Linked DNA regions of Arabidopsis thaliana. The protein of the gene in region 1 interacts with the protein of each later gene in a biochemical or structural test. Each region holds a gene or a part of one and is shown in the gene's direction. Other genes may lie near its edges.

Region 1 (7,257 bases):
TGACTGTCCCACTTTGAAGAAAGAATGGATGTGGAAGTAGACTACAGGACACTTACAGTCTCCAGCTATATGAAAAAGCATGGCGAATCTTTCTGTTCTGCTTCTGAAGGTGATAGTGCAGACTGATCCTTGTCTTGCGGCTTAAAATATCAAACTCAGCCTGCTCCCATGTATACTGCCAAATGAATATGGACAATCGTTAGTACGGTTATCTCTAGTAAGTTCGATATTTATGGCTCTGACACCCTTTTTTACCGAATGAAGTACAAGAATGAACTATTACCGTGAAATTAGGGAATTTCCGTTGAAGCTTCAACTGTCCCTCAGCAGAAGCACCTCCATATAAATCCATCACGAAGATACCACCTTTCTTAGACAAAGCGTCACGTGCATTCTTGAAGTAAGAAACCAACTCCGAGCGTTTGTGGAGACAACAACAACTAAAATTAAAAGCACACACAATATCCCTCTTTGGCAACGAATCAGGTCCATCTTTCTCTAAAGATTCGACAACACTCGGATCAGCCAAATCTTCATTATCATCACCATCATCCAAGCTGATATTTTGTATCAGCTCATGGGATTTAGATTTCACTTGCTTAGCCTCAAGAGGAGTTAAAACATTCCCATGGAAAAGCGACATTCTTGAATACACGTCAGAACCAAGTTTACTAATGTTGTTATCCATACACCATTCTAACGCCTCAAGATCAAAATCAAGCCCTATAGCAGTCCGTCTAGTGTCAGTCTTCAGCCACTCCGCACTATTCCAACAATCAATGTAAAAACTTATTCAAGCAAGAAAACCAAAAGCTACATTATTTTGTACCATTTAGTGAAACACACAACAACCTTAAAAGAGCAGTGCCGCAGAAATCTTCTTGGAAATGGAAAGGTTGTCTTCCACCAACATACATTAAAAAGAACTTCTGCAAGTAACTTATGTCTCCTTTTGGTGACTGCAACAAACAAAAAGCAATGAAAAGACAAGAACAACAAATGTTAAAGCTTAGTGCTTGATGATAGAACAAGAACAGTGAAACACAAACAATACAATTTGTTAAATCTTAGTGCTTCTTTATACAAGAGATACAGAGAACTCTCTCCCTAAGAAAATTTAAGTACTTTTAACTGATTTCATAAAACCAGTAAGAACCACTCAATGAAACTTAGAAGGCCAAGCACAGAATTGCAGTTACCTGAACGGATTGTTGGTAAAGGAGAAACTTTGAAGGCAAATCCGATGATTCGTTTCCATCATTTTCTTCTTCTTCTTCGTCAGAGTTTTCTTCATCTTCTTCGTCGACGGAGGCAACAGCCGGCGGGTGTTGATCGTAGAAATCTTCAGCATCATTCGAATATTCACCTTTGTGGCGACGTCGATTAGGTTTTTTCTCTCGTTTCCCCATTTGTCGTCGTTCTCAGTCCAAATTCTCAATCCAGAGAATAGAGCAGAGCAGAGCAGTCGAGGAAGAAGAGAAAAGCGTTGACTTTGTGTTTAGTGTGTCTTTAGACTGAAGAGTGCCCTAAACTATGCCACGTAGGCCCTATTGCTCTCGGTTTAGTGTTTTTTTTGGGTCAAATACCGGTTTTTAGTGGTTCGGATGGTATTTATCATGTGGGGTTTTTTTTTTTTTTTTTTTTACTATGGTTTAGAAAAACTTGGTTAATTATCACCTAAAATAGTGTTTTGGTGTTTCGTTGGAGATGACTAGACGCATAGGTAACAAATAGTACTTTGAAAATCTCAATAGATCTTGCAATGATCTCCTCTTATTATAAGTTTATGATGGATAATGTATTTCTTACTTGAAGATATGTGTTTCTTGCCAATAACTATTGATTATCTTGTGTTTAAGACAATAATATATTACCATTTTTGTATTGCCTAATCGCTTCCACACTAATGAACATATTCTTTGAACTTGAAAATTTCCTTTTTTCTTTAATGCATTGTCAACTAGTGAAAAATTCATTCGTTCGTTTTATCATTGAGACATAATCAATAATCTTGCTAGTTGGGTATCAATAGAACCTGTTCGCTTTGGTTGACAATTACGATTCGCTGCTGAAACTCCGGTCTTTGCGTTTGCAATGTGCACAAGTGACTCCAAATGTTTTGAATGAATAAAAGGAATGTCCTTTCTGCAACTTAAATGTTCTTTGTTGCAAGTTTAATTTTGGTCACTATTTTTTGCTACAATTGCATTCAAAGTAGATTTACTAATTTGTGTTGATGTTAAGGTTTGTTTTTGAAATAATATTTCTAGTTTGTTTTCTTAAGGTTGATAACAAGAAAACTTATCATGGTCATGCTTTATATTGTCACTATTTGAATTTTTTTTCAAATTTGCCTCCTATTAGAAGGACCTTGTACTTAATATATTTGAATGGTGGGATTTTGATGTATCTCTCTACGTGGATTTTTTTGTTTTTCTTCTGCTTTTTAATACAATTTGTTTTCTTTTTCAAACCATTTAATACAAAATTATTGGAAAAAATAAGCATATATTAAAAAACGGCAAGCGTTTTCGTTATCATTCATCAAAACATTGAGCCAATTCTTCACAACTTCCAAAAACGCCTCACCGTTTCATTCTTCTACCAACCTACGCTCCGCTGTTTTCAAGACCTTTTCGTCTTCGTCGTCAAATCTAGCTTTTTTCTTCATCGCTTTGCATAATCCATTCCTTCTTCTCTCTTCTCCATCTCCTTCCTCCGATCTTCGTCTCCAATTCGGAATCTTCCTATCACAATTTCAAGGCTCCTTTAACCCTTGATCATCACCGATTCAATCAATTCGGAATCACAATTTCAAATCGAGAGAATTTCAATTTCTCTTGTAAAACCCTAAATTATGTACAGCAATTTCAAGGAACAAGCGATCGAGTACGTGAAGCAAGCGGTTCATGAAGACAATGCTGGGAATTACAATAAAGCTTTCCCTCTATACATGAACGCGCTTGAGTACTTCAAAACTCATCTCAAGTATGAGAAGAACCCTAAGATCAGAGAAGCTATTACCCAGAAATTCACCGAGTATCTCCGTCGTGCTGAGGAGATCCGTGCTGTTCTCGATGAAGGTGGATCGGGTCCAGGATCTAACGGTGATGCAGCCGTCGCAACGAGGCCCAAAACTAAGCCTAAAGATGGAGAAGGTGGTGGTAAAGATGGAGAAGATCCTGAACAATCAAAGCTTCGAGCTGGGTTAAACTCTGCGATTGTTAGAGAGAAACCTAATATCAAGTGGTCAGATGTTGCTGGGCTTGAAAGTGCTAAACAAGCTCTGCAGGAAGCTGTGATTTTGCCTGTCAAGTTTCCACAGTTCTTCACTGGTAAATTTGTGTAATCTGGAGCTATTCATTGAAGTTTTGAAACCGTTCTCTTTGTAAAGTTGTGAGCTTTATCTGTTGTTTTGTTACTTCTTAGGAAAGAGACGGCCTTGGAGAGCTTTTCTGTTGTATGGGCCTCCTGGAACAGGAAAATCGTATTTGGCTAAGGCTGTTGCCACTGAAGCTGACTCTACCTTTTTTAGGTAACGTATGTTTAAAAGTGTTTGAATTTCTGAAAGTATATAGGAAGAGGATGGTGTAGTGTCTTAACTCTTTCATTATAGCTTGAGACCATAGTCAAATACTTATGGATTTGAATAGTTGCTATGGATGATAAGCGTATTGAAGTAGTTTGGGATTAGTTTAAGGAGGGTGGTCTTTGGTTTTGTTTGTGTTTGAATTCTAACGGTGTACTACAAGTTCGGATAGAAATATTAAGGAAAGGTTTGATGTTCCTTTATAGTTTATATGCAAATTCTGCTCTATGCTAGAATAGATGTATGAGTCTCTGCTATCTGTACATGTTATACATAAGCAGCTGCAACCCGATTTTAAAGGCCTGGTAGAATCTAAATAGCATATTAGAGAACCAAGGCGGATCGATTTAATTAGGCAAGAATGCTGATCCTTTGGTTTAAGGGTGCCAGAATTTCTAATTTCAATGTTGTTTGCACGAGGTACTTGGGTTTTTAATTAGGTATGGCTATGTACTTTATGTTGGTTGTTTTTCTATGTCAGTTTGTTTTTACAGTGTTTATACTTGGAAACATGTTATAGCTTAAGAAAAGTTGTTTCCTTTTTACTTCCCAACCTTCAGCGTGTCTTCATCAGACCTTGTCTCGAAGTGGATGGGTGAAAGTGAGAAGCTAGTATCAAACCTTTTCGAGATGGCCCGTGAAAGTGCTCCCTCGATTATTTTTGTTGATGAGATAGATTCTTTGTGTGGTACACGTGGAGAAGGAAACGAGAGTGAAGCTTCAAGACGTATCAAAACAGAGCTTCTAGTGCAGATGCAGGTGCATAGCTTATCCGAACTAAACTCCATGTCTTTTAGTTGTAGCTGAAATTTCCGTCTCTGACTTATCTCTTTTTCTTTTAGGGTGTTGGACACAATGATGAGAAAGTACTTGTACTTGCAGCAACCAATACACCCTATGCTCTTGATCAGGTGAAAGTCATAAGACGGCTTGGTTCTCTATTTTCTTTGCCAGTTAAATATTGTTTTGTTAACTCCATGTTAATTTCAGGCTATCCGGCGACGTTTTGACAAGCGTATCTATATTCCTCTCCCAGAGGCCAAGGCTCGGCAGCACATGTTCAAAGTATTATTCATTTGCTTCAAGTTTCTCAAGTAAAAATCATTCAAGGGAGACAGAACCAGTTTACTAATGAGATCTGTTTTGTAAATGCAGGTCCACTTGGGAGATACACCTCATAATTTAACTGAACCTGATTTTGAATATTTAGGCCAAAAGACAGAAGGGTTTTCTGGTTCAGATGTGTCTGTTTGTGTACGTAACTTGGCCTGAGTTATTTCTTATTGTCCTTAATTTCCCCCTATGTTGCTATAGATAGATAAGCCTTTGTCTTGAGAATCTTTTTGGCTCTTGCAGGTAAAAGATGTTCTGTTTGAACCTGTTCGTAAAACACAAGATGCAATGTTCTTTTTCAAGTCTCCTGATGGTACATGGATGCCATGTGGGCCTAGGCACCCTGGTGCCATCCAGACTACAATGCAAGATCTAGCAACAAAAGGGCTTGCCGAAAAGGTACGCATCTAAACTTTGAATATATCATTTAGGTTTTGTATTTCAAGCTTCTCTGATTTCTAAATCCTTTCAATCCTTACATATGACGATTTCTAAAGACTGAATTGTGTATTTCATGTGAATAAATTGCAACAGATTATTCCACCACCAATCACCAGAACAGATTTCGAGAAGGTACTTGCAAGACAAAGGCCAACAGTGAGCAAGTCTGACCTTGATGTCCACGAGAGATTCACACAGGAGTTTGGAGAAGAAGGTTGATAGATTTGACATTCCCATCAAGCATCTTTCACAATCATATTATTATTAGTCTCTTCACCATCTCCTTATGTATGTACTGAGAAGCAAAACAAAATCTCAAACCCATGTTTGATTTCTTCCCAAAACATTGAATTTGCTTTATTTCTCGAATTGTGTAAAAAAAAAATGTTCTGAACAATGTTTTCTATTTATTATGTCACCAAAAGTCTCCACATGAGCAAACTCCATCACTGCTAAAGTGATGAAACCGATTTGAATCTCTAACTACGATCTCTCTTTCTTCAATCTTTGCAATTAATTTGATCACTAAATGACAATCTCCACAAACCCTAAGGTTCTTAATGATCAAAAGAGGGCTTCCCTTTGGTGTAGCTATCAACCCGAAAGCAATAGCTAATCTCTCACTATGCTGAGCAAGAACTGCTTCTTTATGCTCATCATCAATATCTTGAAGCACATAACTTGTATCTGGCTCATACCCTAAATCCTTCAGCCGTGTACTTAAATCTTCTAGCTTCATATAGATTTGATCTTTGAGAGGATGAGACCGATCACCCGCCAAGAACGAGTAAGTCTTGTTCTTGACCTCAATCCAACTATAACCAGGTTCTTTCTTCACGTTCCTCTCATTCATCAGCTTCCTTACTTTGGCTCTCTCTTGCCAATCTCCTGACTCTGCATACATGTTAGACAATAATACATATGCCGCTGAATCTTCTGGCTTCATCGCAATGATCTTCTCTGCAGCTAATCTCCCTAGCTCTGTTTTCTTGTGCACACGGCATGCAGCTAGAATTGTTCTCCAAATGGTGGAACCAGCCGGATTTGGCATGTTTTCTATGACCTTCATAGCCTTTTCAAGTTGCCCAGCTCGGCTGTATAGATCCACCATACAACTATTATGCTCCTTTGTAGGTGCTATCTTGCAGTCTCTCACCATTATATCGAAATATTTTTCGCCTTCTTCTACTAACCCCGCATGTGTACAAGCAGCAAATACTCCGATGAATGTTACACCATCCATTTTCACCTTTCTCTTCTTCATCTCCTTGAAAACATCGAGAGCCTTCATAGCTTGCCCGTGTTGTGCATACCCAGAGATCATCGAATTCCATGATACTAGATCTTTCTCTCTCTGCCTTTTAAAGACTTCTTCCGCACTCTCGATGTTGCCTTTCTTTGCATACATGGTTAGAAGAGCACTACTAACACACAGAGAACTATCGAGTCTTGATTTTATAGCGAACCCGTGGAATTGCTTTCCCTGTCCCATAGACGCATTAGTAGCCGCACACACGTTAAGGATGCTAGAGAATGTGAACTCGTTCGGTTTTATCCCTCCTTTTGTTAGCTCACCAAACATCTTTATAGCTGCCTCTGTCTCTCCGGTCTGAGCATATCCTGCAAGCATCGCTGACCAAGCCACAATGTCTTTATCATCAATACCGCTAAAAACTTTTGCAGCCTCTTCTACTTTGCCTAACTTCACATAAGCATCTAAAAGAGCAGTTCCAACAGTTGAAGATCTCTCGTAGTTAGTCTTTACAACCTGTGCGTGGACCTCTGATGGAGAAATCACAGGAAGAGCTGTGAGAATGACAGAATAAGTGAATTCGTTTGGTCTAACACCTTTCCTCTTCATTTCAGAAAATAAATCTACTGCTTCCTCTTTCCCATCATTCTGCAAGAAACCACTAATCATCGCTGTCCACGACACAACATTTCCTACGCATCCTATCTCTTTGAACAGCCTAAGAGCATCAAGCATCGCCGTACATTTACTATACGCTACCATTAGAGCCGTCCTTATATTCTGATCAAACAAAAACCCGTATTTTACAACACTGCAATGGAGCTGTTCTGTAAACCTCAGTTCTTTGAGGTTAGCGCAGAGC
Region 2 (4,580 bases), on another chromosome or scaffold:
GATCTCATTGTATAGTATAGTGTAATATCCTTTAACCGAGGACTTTGAGTTACATGCGTATCTTGAAACTTTTATAATGCAGGCTCTTGACTCGATACGTGATGAAGGACTACAGGCAGTGGCTGCCACATGCAAGGAGCTCCGTGAGCTTCGGATTTTCCCTTTTGATCCTCGTGAAGACAGTGAAGGTCCTGTCTCGGGAGTAGGCCTCCAAGCAATTTCAGAGGGCTGTAGGAAACTGGAATCTATCCTGTACTTTTGCCAGAATATGACCAATGGAGCTGTGACAGCCATGTCGGAGAACTGCCCGCAGCTTACTGTGTTTAGACTTTGCATAATGGGTCGCCATAGGCCTGACCACGTGACAGGAAAGCCAATGGACGATGGATTTGGTGCCATTGTTAAAAACTGCAAGAAGCTAACCCGACTTGCAGTATCAGGGTTACTAACAGATGAAGCTTTTAGCTATATAGGAGAATATGGGAAATTGATCCGTACGCTATCTGTAGCGTTTGCTGGGAACAGTGACAAGGCTCTGAGATACGTTCTTGAGGGTTGTCCTAAACTACAAAAGCTTGAGATCAGGGACAGTCCCTTTGGAGATGTTGGATTGCGCTCTGGTATGCATCGGTATTCCAATATGAGGTTTGTTTGGTTGTCGTCATGTCTCATATCCCGTGGAGGCTGCAGGGGTGTTTCTCATGCTCTGCCTAATGTAGTCGTGGAAGTATTTGGAGCCGATGGTGATGATGACGAAGACACTGTCACTGGGGATTATGTTGAGACATTGTACTTGTATCGATCCCTTGATGGCCCAAGGAAGGATGCTCCAAAGTTTGTAACAATTTTATGAGAAAAACTTTGGTGCAAATGAGGCCATGATTGGGGAAAAGCAAAACTAGCAAGCAGAAGATAATGTGTTTGTAAACTGTAAGTGCTTCAGGTACACTGCATGATTTGTTTTGCCATTTTCACTCTTCTTTGGATTCGTTATATACACCAAGAAGAGTATTATAGCTCAAAGGAAGACAATGTATGAAAATGAACGAAAGAATCGTCTATTATTGTTTGTGTTGTAATAATTGTTTTTTCGCAAACATTGCCAGATTTATTTACAGTCATTGCACGATTATTATCCAAAGAATTATTCGTTATACATAACATTTTAAGCTTATCTATTTTGTTGGCTTACTAGTATTTTCTTCACCATTCTTGTCTTCCTCCATCACCAGATGCTCTAAGGTATCGATAAATGCGGTAACTTTCTCCAAGCTTTTCTCATCAAGCCTTGGGACAGTATGGCCTTTGGGATGATGGACAACCACCGGATTCTTGTACGATTCTATCAGCTGAGTTCCGTAAGGTTTCAGAAAATCAGTCTCTCCTGCAACAAACAAGCCATTTATCAGATTCTCGATCATCAATGAACAAGGTTTTGAAGAATTTTCAAATCAGCTTTTGCAGAATGTACCTAAAAAGTGGAGGGAGAGAGTTTCCAAGGAAGACGAATATGCATTCTCGGCCAATTTGGCGGATTTGAGCTTAGCTCCTCCAATGATTATAACAAACTTAATCTTTGGTACTTTCTGAAATGCAATTCCCTGCAAAAGTTGTAAATGAATCAGAAACAGAATTTGTAAATAAATATGATCATGAATACTATAGTGTCATTAGTATTGACGTACCTTAGCTTGCAGTCCTGGTAAACCCCCAGACAAAATTGCACCCTGCAAAATCAAATTTAGAGTTTTCAAAGAGAGTACACAAATCAGACTCTGTTGATGCAATTTCAAATGTAGATAACTTACCTGGGAAAACCCAATGAGACCATCGAAAGGACCAAGCTTGATCATACGATCCTCCAGGTACTCCAAACATTTCTCGAAATTCGTATACTCGGTGAATTCCTGAATCCAAATTACAACGTTAGTACACATACGAATCAAAAGAATAAAGAGAAGAAAGTGAAGAAAAACAAAGGACCTTGTTGAATTGAAACCACTCGTAATAAGGAGGATCAAAGATGCCTTCGACATCAGATTTGCCTTGACAAGGAAAAGGTGCATCGAGAAACACGAGATCGAGTCTATCAATTACAGATTTAGGCCATTTATGAAGCTGTATCTTCATTATCTCTCCGCTCGTACGAAATCCATGGAGACACAAAAACCTTGGCTTCCTCGCAATCGATCTTCCTTCGCTTCCCATTCTTCACAATTTGTTATCTGTTGTCTTCCCTCTTGCTTCGCCTTTTTATAACGCTCTGTTGCTGCAAATCTCTTCCTTCTTCCAGGAACCATCGTGGTTCACATTTGATCGTATAAATTTATCGCACATGGGAAATACCAAAAAAGGGCCGATAGATTAAGTGAAATTCAGGTTTTCTTCCTTTTCTTATTGGGCCAAACTGATTGGTTGGCAATTTTTGGTCAAAGATCAACGGCAACGAAATAATCAGAGTTTCCATTGGACGGTGGAGATCAAATAAACATCTCACGGAAATTTGGAATCTAAACCGCGTGGGAAACGACATCGTGTGCCCGTAAGTTAGGCGTTGGTCCAATTAAAATCGACCCTATACTAAACCGGTTTTGTATAGAGATCATAAAGTCGCAATTCGGTTTTTGAAAATCGATTTTGAGATCAACAGATTCGAGAGATGAGGAGAGGAGGCAAGGAAGAAGACGAAGTTGAACAGTTGCTTCAAGCAGCTCAAGATGAGATGATACTAAAGCTCTCTGTTGATTCTCACACTTCTCGATCTTCTTCCGATTACTTAGATCCAGATCTTCACTCTAGATTTCTCGCTCTCAAATCTCAAAAGAAGAAGGATCAGCAGCAACAACAGAAACAACGGCCGAGAATGCAGCCGAAATCAAAGGATGTGGTTGAAGAAACACCAGAAGATCTCATGCTTAGATTCGCGGCTCTGAAAACTTCTCTCCCCTCCGCGTCTTCTTCGTCCTCTGTTCTTCTTCAGGATGAAATCGGAGAAGATGGTGATGAAATCGGAGAAGATGCTGAAGTGGATAAGCTGATCCAATGGGCTATAGACGCAGCCCGTCTCGATCCGTCTCCGTCTTCTGACGATGAGCAAAGCCAGAATTGCGATAGCGATGATGAGAATGATTCAACTAGAGATGTTAAACCTTAATTTTAACAATTTGGCTTCTCTTGTAAGGTATATATACATCCCTTTTTGTGCTTGTTAAAGATTGTCGCTAGAATGAGTGAAAGTTTGGAATTTGCAATGAGATTGTTAATTTTTCGAATGTTGCATTTCGTAGATATATGAGATAAAAGTGTTGTCATTGTTACGATCATGGAAAATGGAATTTGATAACAATCCAAATCATTTGTTGTCACGGGTTCGTTGATATGAACTAGAGAACTAGATTCAAACATTCATGATAAATAGGTTACACTAGAGGAATTAGTACGGTGGGAGCTTCCTAATGAACTCTAAAACAGCTTTGGCAGTGTTAGTGGCAGCCAAAGATCCAAACTTATGAACAGTGTTATCTCCTCCTTCTCCAGCTAAATCTGATAAACCCCTTATCACAATTATCGGATACCCATTTGATGCGCATGTCTGGTCAAATCCACAACACAAACATATCACTTAACGATCAAAATTATGTAAAAATTAATGGATTCAAAATTACCATGGCTACTGCAGAACTCTCCATATCAGAGGAGGAGACTCCAAAAGTATCGTATAAGAAATTTCTATAGGCTGCATTATCCACAAATATGTAAGCAGTGGCTGCTTTCAATCCAACTACCAATTTTGGTTTCTTTGGAAGACACAAACTTGCATTTACACACTGCGATAGCTCCATCTTCTGCCACCGTATACCACACGAAAAACCGTTGTTAACAATGGAACCGTTATTGTTTATAATCTATAATCTAATCAGTATGTTGTATAGCTCTTAACAACCTCTAGATCAGCTGCAAGATGAAGCCACTCTTGAGTTGTGTTGATCCAAAACACATTCTGAGGTGCATTGATGTGACCAGTGACTGAATATAGTTGCTCGTAATTATATCCAATACTCCCTAACTCATTGTCGCCATCTCCTTTTGGAACATTATAGTTTCCGACATCTAAGTACGCTATATCCTCAACTCCCTTTACTTTGTCTGGATTCTGTTTTACTCAGAACCAAAAGCATGGATCAGACAATATGAAGAAGAAGAAGCAATCAAACTTGTGTAACTATTATACTTACCAGCCAATCCCACAAGCCAGCATTCGTAATTTGCTTAGGGATGCTCACATCTCCTATGGACATTGAGTTGTTCATATTTCCAGCAATCCCAAAATGCACTATCCCTTTCACATTGAACACATCTATCATCTGTTGTGTTGCTGCTGCTCCATTCACCTGCAATTCTTTTGTCTTAATATAAGTGTTCGTTTGCTACTTTTCATATGGATTACATTTACTAATATGCATCTTTAATATACTATACTACTTACTAACTATATTAAAACTTAATATAAGTTTTATCATCAATTCATCATTTCAATTATTGTATACGGATCAGGATATTTTGGTGTGTGCCCATTCCCT
Region 3 (6,948 bases), on another chromosome or scaffold:
AATATGTTCGTTGTTTCTACTTTTGTAGGAAACCTTTTGACTTCACAAGAATGGCAGTGACAGAAGCAGAAAATCCTCTTCTTGGTGAAATCACTTGTGGCACCTTACTACAGAAGTTGCAGGTAGATTTCGCAACATACACACTTATCCTTTTAATATATGGTTCCACAAACTCAATGTACAAACTTGTTACAGGAAATCTGGGATGAGGTTGGGGAGAGTGATGAAGAACGAGACAAACTGCTTCTACAGATTGAGGAAGAGTGTCTGAATGTTTACAAAAAGAAAGTTGAGCTAGCCGCAAAATCTCGTGCAGAGCTTCTTCAGACTTTGTCAGATGCCACTGTTGAACTTTCCAATCTCACAACTGCTCTCGGGGAAAAAAGCTATATCGACATTGTAAGTAATCTCACGTCTTACAAGTGGTAAAGAGATGAGATGGTTACAGTGTAGTGTGATTCAATGTCTTTGTTTCCATTGCAGCCTGATAAGACTTCAGGAACGATCAAAGAACAACTTTCTGCAATAGCACCTGCGCTTGAACAACTTTGGCAACAGAAAGAGGAAAGGGTCCGGGCATTTTCTGATGTACAATCACAGATTCAGAAGATATGTGAGGAGATCGCTGGCGGATTGAACAATGGACCTCATGTGGTTGATGAGACTGACTTGTCTCTAAAGAGATTAGATGACTTCCAGAGGAAACTCCAAGAGCTCCAGAAAGAGAAGGTAAAATATTAGTTGGGATATGGTTATGTGTGGCCTATGTTCAAACCAGAACTAAAACTGCTTTGTGTTTGAGCAGAGTGATAGGTTACAGAAGGTGCTCGAGTTTGTGAGCACGGTGCATGATCTATGTGCCGTCCTTCGTTTAGATTTCTTAAGCACTGTCACCGAAGTTCATCCGAGCTTAGATGAGGCAAATGGTGTTCAAACCAAGAGCATTAGCAATGAAACACTTGCAAGGTTGGCTAAGACTGTCTTGACTCTTAAAGAAGATAAAATGCAAAGACTTAAGAAGGTTAGTCAAAATCATGGTCTTTGTGATCTCTGACATGAGCTTGGTCAGTTTAGGCTGCACATATGTTGAAATCCTTTCTGATTAATTGCGCTGAAAGTTTGTAACTTTTCTCTGCACCATTCTTGTTTGTGGATTTCATTAATGTATCTTGGTTTTATGCAGCTTCAAGAACTAGCTACTCAGCTAACTGATCTATGGAATCTGATGGATACTTCTGATGAGGAAAGGGAGCTTTTTGACCATGTTACCTCTAACATTTCAGCTTCAGTTCATGAAGTGACTGCCTCTGGTGCTCTCGCACTTGATCTTATCGAACAGGTATCGTAAATTTGTAATGTATCAATCAATGTGTATGATAAGTACTGCTTTTAAAAATCTTCTGTGAACTCTTGAAGGCTGAGGTGGAAGTGGATAGGCTTGATCAACTGAAATCTAGCAGAATGAAGGAAATTGCATTCAAAAAGCAATCAGAGCTTGAGGAGATATATGCTCGTGCTCACATAGAAATAAAACCAGAGGTTGTTCGTGAGAGGATCATGTCGTTGATTGATGCTGGGAATACTGAACCTACTGAGTTACTGGCTGACATGGATAGCCAGATCGCAAAGGCCAAGGAGGAAGCCTTTAGTAGAAAAGAAATTTTAGACCGTGTAGAGAAATGGATGTCAGCTTGTGAGGAAGAGAGCTGGCTCGAAGATTACAATCGAGTATGCTAACATTGGCTATGTTAATAAACACATTACTTATTAAGCATAGAGTTCAATTGATGATTCTTTTGGGTTTTTGTTCTGGAAAAACAGGATCAGAACAGGTATAGTGCAAGCCGAGGTGCGCATTTGAATCTCAAGAGAGCTGAGAAAGCTCGGATTCTGGTCAGCAAGATTACTGGTAAGAACTTCCAAAAGTCTCTCTTAGTTATTACTACACATAGAATTAAACTGAGACTGAAGAATATATCATACTTTGTTTGTGCAAGCTATGGTTGACACGTTGATTGCTAAAACCCGGGCATGGGAAGAGGAGAACAGTATGTCCTTTGAGTACGATGGAGTTCCTTTACTCGCCATGCTAGATGAATACACTATGCTTAGGCAAGAACGAGAAGATGAGAAGCGGAGGCTGAAAGTAAGTTGTTTCATCCTGTGTTAAACCGATTGTTGAAACTAACTTCTTTTAAAATAATCTTGCCTTTTCATTAACAGGAACAGAAGAAGCAGCAAGAACAGCCACACACAGATCAAGAATCCGCCTTTGGGTCTAAACCAAGCCCTGCAAGACCCGTTAGTGCCAAGAAACCGGTGGGAACACGAGTCAATGGAGGAGGGCTCAACGAAACTCCTATGAGGCGTTTGTCTATGAACTCAAACCAGAACGGAAGCAAGTCCAAGAGAGACAGTCTGAACAAGATAGCTTCACCTTCGAACATTGTAGCCAACACAAAAGATGATGCTGCATCTCCAGTCTCTCGTGCTGACCCAGTGATGGCTTCACCGTGACAATATCAAAAGAAAGAGAGTTATAATGCTTACTTACACTTTTGTTAGTTGCTAATAGTGCTGTTTAAGAAACAAACACTTAGAAACAAAGACAATGAGAGTAGAATGTTACTTAGATGTTTCTGTTTCTGTATTCATTCACTCAAATTTGTTTGGTACTTGTTAGCATGACTAATGTGAAGTGACCGGTTTAGTGAATGAAAGTCAAGGTTCTAATTGGAATTACGAAATAATATTTGGGCAAAATTGTAATATACTGAAAGATCTTTTGGGCATGATTTAAAAGTTTAAAAAGTTTCCAAGAAGGTTTGGGATTTTAGAGGTCCTTTCTGCGACGTCGTTTCTAGTTTGCAATCAGAAGCGCGTTAAATACAGGAAAATTTCTTGAGCTGTTTTGTCTTAACAAATCAATCGGAGAAAAAGCTACGGAGCTCGAGAGAAGAGAGAATCTATGTCGAACCCAAACGAACCAGCCAGGGCTCTTCTGCCTTACCTGCAACGTGCCGATGAGCTGCAGAAGCATGAACCACTTGTTGCTTATTACTGTGAGTTTCGTTTTCTTATCTATATCTAACCTAGATGATCGCCTCCTGCGATTGTGTGTATTCATGGAATTTTGTGATTGATTAGGTCGGCTATATGCAATGGAACGAGGATTGAAGATTCCGCAGAGCGAGAGAACTAAGACCACCAATTCGATTCTCATGTCTCTCATTAATCAACTCGAAAAGGTATTACCTTTGAAGTTTTAAATTGTGAGTTTTTCTGATTTATTTCAGCTTGTTTGATTTTTTACTTGTTTAGATTTGAAAGGACCGGTTCTTAGTAATTCTCATGATGTGTTTGACTTTGATTATTATATGTTGTTACTTGTTACAAAGCTGGAGTTTTTTTATTTATGTTTGTGTTTGGTAAGGAGGCTTATATCTAAATTTAGCTTAGGTTTGTTCATGTGATTGACAGAGTTCATGAGGCAATTTCTTGATTAGTTCCAGTTTCTTATGGCGATTTCTTTTTTGTGTAACTCCAGGATAAAAAATCATTGACTCTGTCCCCAGATGACAATATGCATGTGGAGGGGTTTGCACTTAGTGTCTTTGCTAAGGCAGACAAGCAGGATCGTGCAGGAAGAGCAGACTTGTAAGAATTTTTTTTGCTCTTATGTTTGATTATATATAGAATGGCATTTTTTTTGCCCTCAAGTTTCTAATAATTTTAGGGTCACCGTCAACACTAGCTCAATGAGTCGAATTAGCATGATTCTATAGATTCATTGTCTGTCTAGTATTATTGTGTTTGCCAATACTGGAAATAGCGTGCAAGTACACATACATTTACAATGAGTATGCATGTCCGGCAGACATGTTTTTAGGTGATACCTTCCTCTACCATCGTTTAAGATAGCGGGTTAAGTAATTAGTTGGATGCATCCAAGGCTTATCTCGACCTGTTGTCTTCTACCTGTTCTGCTTTTGCGAAATACCTGTATCTCCAGCATTGATGTGTTTCTATGCATGGTTGGATACTGATATTAGTTCGATTACTGTCTGTATCCTTATTTTATAAGTGCTAACACCTGCATTCATTTGACTCAATTACATAGGCTTCCGAGTTGCGATGGATTATCCAAATTAACTTTGTTGTGCTTGTGACAGGGGCACTGCCAAAACTTTTTATGCTGCGAGCATCTTCTTTGAAATTCTGAGCCAGTTTGGTCCCGTACCTCCTGATGTAAGTTCCTACTTCTTTTTTTATTCACTTAACATCACCTTAAGAGGCAGCTGTGTTGGGAGATTGATATGTGTATATATGTAATGGCTCCCATTAACAGATAGAGCAGAAACACAAGTATGCTGCTTGGAAGGCTGCTGACATAAGGAAAGCCATTAAAGAAGGAAGGAAGCCCACTCCAGGTGATCCTGTGGATGATGATACTGATTTATCCATCCCATCAAGCGGTCCTAGTGGCTCCTATGTAAGTTTCTCTTCTTGAATATTTATGGATTGGAAATATCTTGATATTGGCTTAGCGTGTATTCTGTCCAATAATATCGAAAAGTGTTTAGGAGCGTAAATGTTTATAGAATTCGCATAGCGCTGATCAAAATCATCTAGCTAGAGACACACACATTCACACCCACCTGTGTACTTTTAGGTTTTTGTTTTCTCAATTGTCAAAACACTATGATAAAACGTCTGCATCAACTTAATCGATTCATTGTTTGTGCATGTTAATTATCTACAGGATCACAGTGCAAGTGATACCAACACAACAAGTCATCATAGAACAGAGCTTGATCCACCCCATGACTCGAATGATGACTCCAGCCACCATCAATTCCCTGAAGTGCCACAACACCCTCTACCTCCCAGGTTTTATGACAATCCGACCAACGATTATCCCGCAGATGTCCCACCTCCACCACCGTCTTCTTACCCTTCCAACGATCATCTTCCCCCTCCCACAGGACCATCAGACTCCCCTTACCCGCATCCTTACAGTCATCAACCATACCACCAAGACCCGCCAAAACACATGCCGCCACCGCAAAACTACTCATCTCATGAGCCTTCTCCAAATTCTCTCCCTAATTTCCAATCTTATCCTAGCTTTAGTGAGAGCAGCCTCCCATCCACTTCTCCCCACTACCCTTCTCACTACCAAAACCCAGAACCTTACTATTCTTCTCCGCACTCTGCACCTGCTCCTTCTTCCACAAGCTTCTCCTCTGCTCCTCCTCCTCCACCTTACTCATCAAACGGGCGTATCAATATTGCTCCCGTGCTAGATCCTGCACCGAGTTCAGCTCAGAAGTACCATTACGATAGCAGCTACCAGCCAGGGCCTGAGAAGGTTGCAGAGGCACTCAAGGCTGCTAGATTCGCTGTGGGAGCTTTGGCTTTTGATGAAGTCTCGACTGCTGTAGAACATCTCAAGAAGTCACTTGAGTTGCTAACAAATCCATCGGCCGGTGCCGGTCACTGAATTTTATATCTAATCTATGACACTTGGGGTTGATGTTAGTGCGTGTGTGTGTTCTCAACATTTGTGGGTTTGTTTATTAACTTTTCAGGCTCAGACTTCGTTTACAAAGAAAATTTGTGTGAATTATTCTTATTATCATAAAATTTTCCTTGCAACTTCGTGTACATTCATACATACATAGGCAATGGAGTTCCTCTTCAGTCTTCACGTAAAGAGCGAGTGTGGGACACGCACTCATGTAGCGGGTGGTGTTAGTACTCGAGGTTGGGCCTATATAAAAGCCCATAGAGGCCCGAATTACTGAATTTAGCAGACAAGAATAGAAAGAGTGATGAAACATGGAAGAAAACGTGTCTCTAGAGTCATGTCAAGTGTAAGACAGAGGAAGAGAGAAGAGATGTGCGTCAAAGACAAGGAAAGAGAGATGTCAATCGCTGCTTTCGTCGGCGCGTGCATGTCCGCCACGCACATCAATCAAATCGATTCTTATTATTATTACCTCATTATACTCTTTACTCTAAGACAAACACATACATTTGCACTCAGTCTAGAGACAAAGTGAGAGAGAGATGGGGTCAAAGACGGAGATGATGGAGAGAGACGCAATGGCTACGGTGGCTCCCTATGCGCCGGTCACTTACCATCGCCGTGCTCGTGTTGACTTGGATGATAGACTTCCTAAACCTTGTAAAACCTTTCTCTCGCTACTTGCATTTTTTTATCCCTAATTGATTTCAATATATTGCATGCCAAAAAATATTTGATATATGGTTGAATTTAAGAAACCCTTTTAAATATATGGAATTGCCGACCCTCAAAATTTTTAAAACATGCATATAGAATGATGTTCATGATCTTATAGAAGCTATAAATTGTAAAATGATACATATCCTGTATATGATGGTAATTAATAATGTATTACCCATGAACGTGCATGAATAATTCTATACACACATTACACATACGTGGAAATGATACAGATTTTGATCTTATATGTGTTATGCATAGATATGCCAAGAGCATTGCAAGCACCAGACAGAGAACACCCGTACGGAACTCCAGGCCATAAGAATTACGGACTTAGTGTTCTTCAACAGCATGTCTCCTTCTTCGATATCGATGATAATGGCATCATTTACCCTTGGGAGACCTACTCTGGTATGTCTATATAGTATATATAGATATTTCAACTTCAAATTTTTCGTTAGTATTATATGTACAAAAAGTTGATCCCAACCGGTGATTAGGACTGCGAATGCTTGGTTTCAATATCATTGGGTCGCTTATAATAGCCGCTGTTATCAACCTGACCCTTAGCTATGCCACTCTTCCGGTAACACCTCTCCTCCTCTGCTGACATATATCGCAAAACTTTGATTGATTCTACTCTAGACTCGGAAATTATCATATCCAAATCCGTTGTCCATTTTGTTAGTGTTCTACTT

Evidence for each region. The genes of interacting proteins can lie anywhere in the genome.
Region 2: the proteins of SKD1 (region 1) and AT4G24370 form a complex in vitro, tested with the Arabidopsis thaliana proteins (one study listed by BioGRID).
Region 3: the proteins of SKD1 (region 1) and EXT-like form a complex in vitro, tested with the Arabidopsis thaliana proteins (one study listed by BioGRID).

The regions. Positions count from the first base shown.
Region 1 is NC_003071.7:11,778,369-11,785,625, forward strand, and holds SKD1 (AAA-type ATPase family protein), read left to right. Parts: upstream 1-2,527; 5' UTR 2,528-2,857; coding exon 2,858-3,335; intron 3,336-3,429; coding exon 3,430-3,535; intron 3,536-4,149; coding exon 4,150-4,348; intron 4,349-4,431; coding exon 4,432-4,500; intron 4,501-4,579; coding exon 4,580-4,654; intron 4,655-4,744; coding exon 4,745-4,843; intron 4,844-4,945; coding exon 4,946-5,101; intron 5,102-5,236; coding exon 5,237-5,362; 3' UTR 5,363-5,558; downstream 5,559-7,257. Other genes in the region: AT2G27590 (S-adenosyl-L-methionine-dependent methyltransferases superfamily protein), read right to left, coding at 57-175, 284-764, 853-959, 1,200-1,409; AT2G27610 (Tetratricopeptide repeat (TPR)-like superfamily protein), read right to left, coding at 5,559-7,257. UniProt on the Arabidopsis thaliana protein: Involved in the transport of biosynthetic membrane proteins from the prevacuolar/endosomal compartment to the vacuole. Required for multivesicular body (MVB) protein sorting.
Region 2 is NC_003075.7:12,610,182-12,614,761, reverse strand, and holds AT4G24370 (uncharacterized protein), read left to right. Parts: upstream 1-2,630; 5' UTR 2,631-2,659; coding exon 2,660-3,154; 3' UTR 3,155-3,366; downstream 3,367-4,580. Other genes in the region: AFB4 (RNI-like superfamily protein), read left to right, coding at 83-853; AT4G24380 (dihydrofolate reductase), read right to left, coding at 1,176-1,384, 1,472-1,601, 1,686-1,907, 1,984-2,208; AT4G24350 (Phosphorylase superfamily protein), read right to left, coding at 3,434-3,592, 3,666-3,845, 3,944-4,153, 4,236-4,391.
Region 3 is NC_003075.7:13,474,403-13,481,350, reverse strand, and holds EXT-like (hydroxyproline-rich glycoprotein family protein), read left to right. Parts: upstream 1-2,827; 5' UTR 2,828-2,968; coding exon 2,969-3,062; intron 3,063-3,147; coding exon 3,148-3,248; intron 3,249-3,547; coding exon 3,548-3,657; intron 3,658-4,172; coding exon 4,173-4,248; intron 4,249-4,348; coding exon 4,349-4,492; intron 4,493-4,762; coding exon 4,763-5,503; 3' UTR 5,504-5,734; downstream 5,735-6,948. Other genes in the region: MAP65-2 (microtubule-associated protein 65-2), read left to right, coding at 51-122, 196-399, 484-729, 806-1,021, 1,184-1,339, 1,417-1,728, 1,822-1,909, 1,998-2,146 and 1 more; ATS1 (peroxygenase 1), read left to right, coding at 6,073-6,190, 6,512-6,661, 6,751-6,836. UniProt on the Arabidopsis thaliana protein: Involved in the endosomal multivesicular bodies (MVB) pathway.